2 linked regions of the Oryza sativa Japonica Group genome follow. The protein of the gene in region 2 interacts with the protein of the main gene of each other region in a pairwise test. Links are inferred from orthologs where the notes say so. Each region holds a gene or a part of one and is shown on either strand. Other genes may lie near its edges.

Region 1 (4,454 bases), on a different chromosome or scaffold from region 2:
ACAAAATCAATATTAGCAAAAGTTAACCTGAAATAGGGCCTTTGACAGCTGTGGAATTCCTTGCAGCAGTTTGTTGGCAACATCCTTATTTTGACTAGTTAGGGACTGCCATAAAAAAAATACATTAATAAACTGCAATTGGTACTGGGCCATTTCTAATATTTAAGAAACAATAGTGCTTAAGATTTCAAGATAACCTTCAACTCAGACATGATTTCATACAACTGGTGCTTTGACATTCTGGCCAAATAATGAGTAAGAGGGTCATTTCCAAGCCCATACTGGACAGGTAAACCATTTTGAACATTTGCAGTTTGAGATCCTCCAAGAATACCAGCCATCACAGATGCAGCATGAATAGCCGATGGAAGACCAACTGGCTGATGAAGACCTGTATCGCCTACAACCGGAGTCCCAGCTAATTGTTTCTGAGTATCTGCAGGATTCCATCAATAGATCAGTGTTAGCATCCACAAACATAAAATCAGCAGATTAGAAATAGTAAAGCATACACATAAACTTGGGAGTGATAAAGGAAATGATACCAACCAACACTGGATGCCATTCCAGGTCCTCCACGACCCTGAAAATACACAAACATATCCAGCATAAGTCAATAGAATCTCTAGCAAAACCAAATCGATCTCAAGAATCCTATAAATCAATAATATTCATTGTTGAAAGCATGCACTAACTACATTACCGTATTGAAGCTAGCTAATATCTAATACACAATGTTTATAGTAGTATATTGAAAGTTTTCTGCATATAGTGATATCATACAATACCACTGCATTATAATCTCCAGATAATTAGAACAAAAAACCACACTGACATGTACAACAATGTATAAATTGCGCTATTTTTCAAGTCACACATCAGTCAACTGTATCCAGCTGCGAACTTGTGATGCACATTTTCTTAGTGTGCTCATTGACATTTGGCAACAGAAGATTGGTCCACTTATATCAGCATTAGTCACTGGTATGGGATGGATTCAAAGGCTGGTGTTGATAGCATCTCAGAAGATTAAGAATATTTTTGTGCCAGTGCAGTAGAAAACCAAAAGAAACTGTAAACCCTTCTGCACATACATAAAGGTCTCATTTGGAATTTCCTGGTTCATGCGGAAATTGAATTATTTCTTTGTGAAATTCCCTGCATATCAAATGGTTCTAAAAATTCAATTGGGTACTGTTTCAGCACTCAATTCTACTAGCAGTTTCATCTTTTTGCTCAAGTATATCGCATAAGGTGAAACTACAGATGCATCTTTCCTAGTGACTACTATTCTTCTTTTGCTATTTATTCAGAACACTTCTGGCGAAGCTCTTCCAATGATGATATATGGTTTTGCTAGGCAACAAACAGCCTTTGGCAGACGGATTCCATAAATAAAAGGAGATGTGACAACAGAGATATTCTTTTTTATAAATGGAGATGCCAAAGATAATGCGCCATACCAGAATGATAATTTCACGAGATAAATTGGCAGATATAGCAGGTGTGTGTATGTACAGCCAGGCAGCTGTACATACATACACATGCTGCAAACAAAAGTGAAACATACGACACATGGTGGTTGGAGAAAACACTACTATTATCATTCATGGGAACCAAAGCAATACAAGCTCTCATCTTAACATAGGAATTGGAAGTTGAGAAATGTGTTTCTTCTACAGTAAGAAACTGAGGATCTTCGACCTTTTCTCTGTTTCTGTCAGCATTCCTCCCATTTTCAGCAAAATCAACACGTAACTGACGGCCATTAATTTCATAACCTTGAAGGTTCCGGCGTGCACTTAGAGCAGTCTCCTCATCCTTGTACTCACAAAACCCATAACCCTTTGGCTTCCCTGTTTCTTTATCAATAACCAATCTGCAAAGCACCAAATGTTTAAGAGCTTATGAGTAGTCGAAACTATCTTACCACGTGTTACCAGATTAAAAAACACTTGCAGCTGCTAGGAAACTTGGCACATTCCTATGTTCAGAGTTATCAGCGATATTAGTAGCACCATGTAGTTCAGCCATTAAACTTCAATTAGCGATTATTTTTAAATGTGCACGGTATAATGTTATTTCATAGAAAAAAAAGTGTGCCAAGCATTATGTCCATACCAGATACCACTGACCCCTGAACTCCTTATTATGTAAGGAGAATAAAAGGCATGAAGTTATTTTTAAAAACAGACACTAGCAAAACTTTAGTATCCAACACACGTCTGTCTGAATCAAATCCAAATATTTGCAGAACCTATTTAGCTTAACTCTAACCATCCTAAACACCAATTCCACACACACACAATTTTGAGGGTTTGTGCAGTACAATTAAACCTGAATGAGACCACAGGGCCGACTTCCTCGCAAATCTGCACGAGCTGCTCCTCCGTCGCATCGTAAGGAATGTTCCCGACTGCAACCAAAATTCAACAACCAACAAACGCATCCGTCAATCGAAAGGGCACGAGCAGTAAACCCTAGACCAAACCAAATTGGTCAAACACTAAACCCTCCCCAAATCTAGCACCGCAACCGAGCAAAACGCGCTTCATTTTCCTCCTCACTCTCATCGACCCACACCCAAACGAAGAACGAACAATCCCACTACGGATCGAGGAGAGCGAGGCGGCTAGGCTAGAAATCAGCCGAGGCCCAAATCGACGGGAAGGAGCCGAGCCGCCTTTGCTCTCTCTCTACTCCGCACCCCACGCACACCGTGAGCTCCCTCCCCGGAGCTCAGCTCAGGATCGAACCATGCCGAAGACGGCGAGAGGGAAGCGGGGGGTAGGGGGCCCGTACCGAAGACGCAGCGGTTCTGGGCGCCGGCGGGGGCCGCGGCGGCCATGCTCGTCAGCAGAGGTCGCCGGCGGCAGGGCGGCGGAGGCGGGGCGGCAGCATCGGCGGCGCGGCGTTCGGGGTGGCGACGCGGGAGATCGAGGTGGGGGCGCGGCCGCGGCGGCGGCGGCGAGTTTTCTTTTTCTTTTTCTTTTCTTTTTTTTTTTGCTATTTCCGGCGTCGTTCGGATATGAGTGCAGCTTGCGGGGTGTGGTGGTCGTTTATAGTAAGGGGAGAAGACCTTTTCCGTGTCTGTGTCTAGAGTTTTGATTGGTATTTTAGGCGAATTTAATTTGGCGGCATGTTTGGCCCATTAACTTTGTAAAATTTGGTCATCATCAGTGTTTTTTTTTTGGTAGAGAGGTTTGTTTGGATTGGTACAAAACGAATTTGGAGTTAAATTTGTCAATTTAAGTTAGGGCTTGTTTAGATCTCCTGGTAAAATTTTATACCTATCACATCGAATGTATAGACACATGTATGAAGTATTAAATATAAAAAATAACTAATTACACAGATTGCGTATAAATTGTGAGACGAATTTTTAAACCTAATTGTGCCATAATTTTTAAGCCTTAGCTTGTTTGCTTGGTACCAAAATTTCTTGCCTAGGGCCGAGTTTAGTTCCAAACTTTTTTTTCAAACTTCTAACTTTTCCATCACATCAAAACTTTCCTACACACAAACTTCTAACTTTTCCATCACATTGTTTCAATTTCAACCAAACTTCTAATTTTGGTGTGAACTAAACACACCCTAGATTGGCACCGTTAGTGCTAAACTAAGCCAAGCCAAAATATGAAAATAATAGTAATAATTGTTTAAGATATCATTGTAGTATCCAATATACATGTTTGTCTTTCTTGTTATTTTCAAATAAAAATTATTGAATATAGCTACATGTACATGAGAGTAGTTTTCACTACAACACCCATGGCATAAATGCTGGTCGCAGAACCTTGGGTGTGACAAGTTGCGGCAACCAAACCAGATACTCTTGGTTTCATGTGGGTTCATGATGCCAGCATCCACTTCATGAATCAAATTCAATGTGAATAGTAGTAGTTTATAACAATTGCTCATCAGTACGAGCAAACGTGTAATTCTATGTACATATGAAAGATTGTGTCAAATACTCAAATATGATATATGATATGATGATTAGAGAGTGAAAATAATTTTATTTTGCTTTTTGGGTTTTCTTATAATCTCGTGTATATACCTAATATTATGAAAATAATCTAGTGTACTTCCTTCAAAATTAGGATGGAAACCACTTGTCCACTACAACAACTAACACTAAAGCAACGGTAAGTTTAACTTTAGGGCTTAATTAGATTGATGCCATTTCAAACCATATCATTTTTTGGTAGAGTTAACAAACATGTGCATCTATTTAATTTTTTGCCAAACTGTACTAAATACATAAGAAATCCTGCCAAAATTTTGGCAATATGACATATTTTGGTATTGTCAAAATTTAGTAAAGTTTATTTTAGTTATAATCTGAACAGCCCTCAACATCCAGTTGAACTCAGAATTTGTAACTGATTAAGCGCACACAAAACGTACCACCAAAATTCTACTAGTACATTTCACACCTAACGGGCAATAAT
Region 2 (4,421 bases):
TATATGGTTTAAAGAAAATGTAGAATCTGCCAGCAATTGGAAAAGAAGCATCATTAAAATTCGAGAATGAAAATGTACTCAAAGAAAAACCTCTGTTATCATGTTTTTCTACAAAAATCACATTGTTCTGTTTTCAATCATCCACCATCAAACGACAACGAGAAAGTAGGAATAACATTTTATGCCAATTGTAATTTATGTGATTACAAAAGTACAGCCAACGCATGGAAAGTAAGTATGCAGGACACCCCCACCCCACCCCCCCCCCCCACCCCCCAAAAAAAAAAACTGTGGAGTTAACATATGTAGGTTCGATCAATGCCTGGTGTAAAGCAATGTTAGAACCTCACTTACTGATTACCTTGTAGGAGCCTGTGGGGGGAACTGCCAGCATGTTCCAATCAATATCATCAATGTATTTCTTACGCTCTCTATATACTGCTTTGGCACTGTTAAACTTTGGCTGATACTCCGATAACAAACCTTTTGCCTGGAATACAGATTGATAATCAACAACTCCATATGAATCAAATGTAACCCAGTTACATTGTTTTAGATTTGATAATATTAATTTTGAAAACAAAGTAAAAGATGAAACCTGCTAACAGAAATACTAGAACTATTGATACAATGAGGATGCACTGAATCTGCAAGTGTCATGTTCATGAAGAACTACAGCACCATATGTTTTACCAGACAGCGATTAGAGTCGTTTGCTAGCTAATTTTCACAAAGATCAAAGATTCAAATGGAAACTACAATTACCAAGGTGCGGCTAACAGAATTCTCAAAATTCTCATAATCCTTCCATAGCTGCTCCACATGATTAGTTGGAACTAAAATTGCCTTCTGATATACTTTCCGTACAGTAGTCATACGATGTGATTCTTCCTGCGGTGTCACAACCTGAAGAGTATGCAAAGAAATATTTACACAGAATAATAGAAGGGATGAATGTTAACATGGGGAAGGACAGGAAACAAGAAGGAAGAAAACAAACCGGCATTGACTTCAAGAAAGCAATATAATCCATCCAAACAGGGCCAGAAGCAACATCATTGCCTGGAAAGTTTAAGTGTCCAAGTTAAAGAAAAAACAAAGAGGGATTATCTATACTTATGGCACCACATTTTTCACCAAAAAACAGTCAAACCTTTCAGCCAGTATTTACACTGTAAATTCCATATCTTGCAATGTAATTTTCATATATTTACAGTGTAATTTTCAAATCTTACACTCTATATTTTTATCATTCCCTATATAAGAGAACTACGAAAAAGGTTGATCATCTATTTGAATCATTGAAAAAGGTACTAGTGCAAATTAACACATAAGTAGAAGGACAAACACAAAAGTCAATAAGAAAGAGAGATGAGAAATACAAGTATAGTTACATGTAATATAAAGGGTAGTTATCAATAATGCAGTGAAAAAAAAGTGACTGAAATCAAGCCAAATATGTGACGCCATATTTTTTTTAGCAAAATTATGTTAAAAAAATGTACTTAGGAAGTCACATCATCACCAGGCACTAGATATAATTAAGTGCCTACTTACCAACATAGTTCAGCATGAAATCAAAAGCCTTTTTGGTCTCTTCCAAACCATCAGAACCCCTTTTATCGTTCACTCTCCTGATAAAGTTGATGTAACAACGCCTGCAAATTACACCCAGACAAATAGGGAAATGTTAATGATGCACTTGAAAACATACTAATACTAGATCCAAGGGAATAGGCAAAACTAAGAGCAACAAAAACAAGGCAGACAATCACAAATGAGATCACATAACAGGGAACTAGTGGCTAATGAGACCATCAGGTTAAATGAGCAGAGACTGCTTAGGAATTTGATGATTTACATGCATGATTTGACACAGAAGTTCAATCCCAAACCACACATATCACGGTAGGAATATAGTTCAGTGACACAACCAGCGATAACAATGATAATTCACATAATGACAGTAAAGCAATTTATTCAACACATCCCACATATGCATACTACAACGTGTGCCTAATGTACAATCTCCAAATATGGCCTCCACTCACCAGAGATTAATCTGAAGGCAACTGAGCAAGCATCTGCTGAATATCTGCTTGGTGGCCTCATCATCCTTCGCGGACATGTAAGCTTCGACATACTGCTTCCAGTACTTCGCCTGCACATACACATATAGCAGGTGAAGCCAAGTGAAATGGCATCACTAGATGAACCAGACGAACCTATATATAGATATACGATGCAACCCCAAAGCAAGCAAAACATCGAGTCGAAATCGAACTGGACTCACGGCAGTGGGGAAAGTTGACAGCAGCTTCTCGTAGATGGGAGCGGCCTCGCCGATTGGGAGCAGCTGGAGACAAGGAAGGAGCGGAGCGGAGCGCAAGCGCGCAACACCGTGGTGAGCTCGTCAGTGCAACCCAGCTCAAGTGAACTCGGTCGCGAAGCGAGGCGAATCGGGGGGAGGGGGGAGAGCTCACCTGGGCCTCGTTGGCGAGGATCTCGGCGGCCTCGACATTGTAGATGTCCATCGCCTCCAACTCCGCCGCCGCCGCCGCCAGCGAGGGCGCCGGATTCCTGTTCACCGCAGAGCAATTCGGGTTTGGATTACCTCACCGCGAAGAAGAGGATTGGGAGAGCGGATTCGGAGCGAGCTAGGGCTTCCTCACCGGGGGAAAGGAGTCGGTCGGGATGGATAGGGGGGATCTCCACCCCACGCCAGTCCACTGTAGGGGAGGAGGAAGCGGAGGAGGACGGCGGCGGGAAGAACGGCGAGTTCACGGCGGCGGAGAGCTTACTCCGGCGGAAGGCGGCGCGAGCGAACGGAGAAATCAGGGGGCGCCGGAGTGATGTGTTTGGAAGAAATTTTAGATGAATTTTACTGAAATGTTTGGATTTCTTTTTTAAAAAAAATTCCAAGGACCAGCGTATCTGTAGCTCGAGGATACATACGTCGTATGGGTAGTTTTCATGTTATTAGAAAAATTATTTCTCAATACTTGGTCCATTACCCTTCCTCTTGTATTATATTTTTATTGAGAAAATTCGATCTATAACATAGAAAACATGTCGGTATCCAAAAAATAGCACACAAAATTCCCACCTTCGATCAGAAGTATATTCCACTTGTTTTTATTTTATCCGTTGTATTTCCGTCACAACTACAGGTCTAATCAAAGTTTTTCGCCATGAGTAGGGACAGAGAAAGATCAATTTGTCCATATTATTCTCTGCATTTACACATGACTAGGTTGGGCACTTGCGCTAGAGCACTTGGACTAGAGGCTGCGCACGCCATGAAAATAGCGACGACGGCAGGCTTGCGCGACCATGCGCCGCAACTGCTATTTCAATGTTGTTGACAACGATGGCTGGTGGTTGCTTGAAGATGGCGACTGGCTGAGGGTTAGGGAATACGAGTAGCTAGCAGCTTGTTTAAGCCGTCGAGCTCAACGCTGGCAGTGGCCGACTTGCTTGCAACGGCTGCTAGGGCTTATTGCTAGGTGAAGATGTGAGCATGACCAAAAATTGCAAGGACCATATACTCCTTAAAAACTAATCAATTTCAACTTCAATAACCACCATACACATGTAAGATAAAAACTTAAATTTTACAAATTGGACCTTGCCTATGCGTGGTGTCTCGGTCATGCATAAGAGACAAGAGGCAAGCGATGAACAGGGGAAGAGGTATGCAGTGAGGGACTGGAAGGAGGAGGAAGAAGAAATTGACCTAAGGGTTTTCTTTTTGGTCTTTTTAGTGGACGGAAGTGCTAAATTTTAGAAATCTCTAACAGAGCTGTGCTTTCAGGCGAAGAAACAAGTTTCTTGTGCTATTATTTTACTCGGACAATACCTATGCTACCAATCGAATTTTCTCATATTTATTTATTATTATATATTGCTCCCTTCATCCAGCAATATAAGATTTATAGCGTTTAAATTTTTACCTTTGTTGTTCAGCAGTTAATTGTAAAAAACATCAGTCAATTACATTAGCCATTGAATTTCGGGGAGGGGGTGGGGATTTAAGGGACGACTAGCAGTGGATGGCGATGCACTAGCGGTGCCGCCAGAACCCACCAATACCATGGGGCTGGAGGAGTGCGTTGGATCAATGTTGGAGACAGAGGTGATTCGTCGGAGTGGCTAGCAAGCGGTGGGCAGCTATGCACCAGCGGTGCCACTATAGCCCAACATTGCCATGGGGATAGAGGAGTGCGTTGAGTCGATGTTGGAGACGGAGACGATTCATCGGAGTGGCTAGTAGACGTGTGGCACATGAGCTGCCAGATACAGGGGGGATAGGTGAGGCGAGATAAGGCATATAAATTAAAGATGATGGTGGTGAAATTAGGGAGGCTCGTGGACATGAAAGCACCAAAGAGTATAAAAAATAATAGCCAAGCATCCGAGGG

What was found.
Region 1: the proteins of cleavage stimulation factor subunit 77 (region 2) and cleavage stimulating factor 64 interact in binary tests that used the Arabidopsis thaliana proteins (3 or more experiments, as listed by UniProt). The link is inferred for Oryza sativa Japonica Group from reciprocal best matches to the Arabidopsis thaliana genes CSTF77 and CSTF64.

The regions. Positions count from the first base shown.
Region 1 is NC_089045.1:3,842,885-3,847,338, reverse strand, and holds the start of cleavage stimulating factor 64, read right to left. Parts: upstream 3,035-4,454; 5' UTR 2,849-3,034; coding exon 2,803-2,848; intron 2,417-2,802; coding exon 2,338-2,416; intron 1,880-2,337; coding exon 1,705-1,879; intron 584-1,704; coding exon 550-583; intron 437-549; coding exon 198-436; intron 106-197; coding exon 28-105; intron 1-27.
Region 2 is NC_089046.1:24,233,964-24,238,384, reverse strand, and holds the start of cleavage stimulation factor subunit 77, read right to left. Parts: upstream 2,861-4,421; 5' UTR 2,673-2,860; intron 2,581-2,672; 5' UTR 2,535-2,580; coding exon 2,484-2,534; intron 2,357-2,483; coding exon 2,294-2,356; intron 2,162-2,293; coding exon 2,052-2,161; intron 1,659-2,051; coding exon 1,558-1,658; intron 1,063-1,557; coding exon 1,001-1,062; intron 907-1,000; coding exon 766-906; intron 491-765; coding exon 362-490; intron 1-361. UniProt on the Arabidopsis thaliana protein: One of the multiple factors required for polyadenylation and 3'-end cleavage of pre-mRNAs. Required for the targeted 3' processing of antisense transcripts that triggers transcriptional silencing of the corresponding sense gene.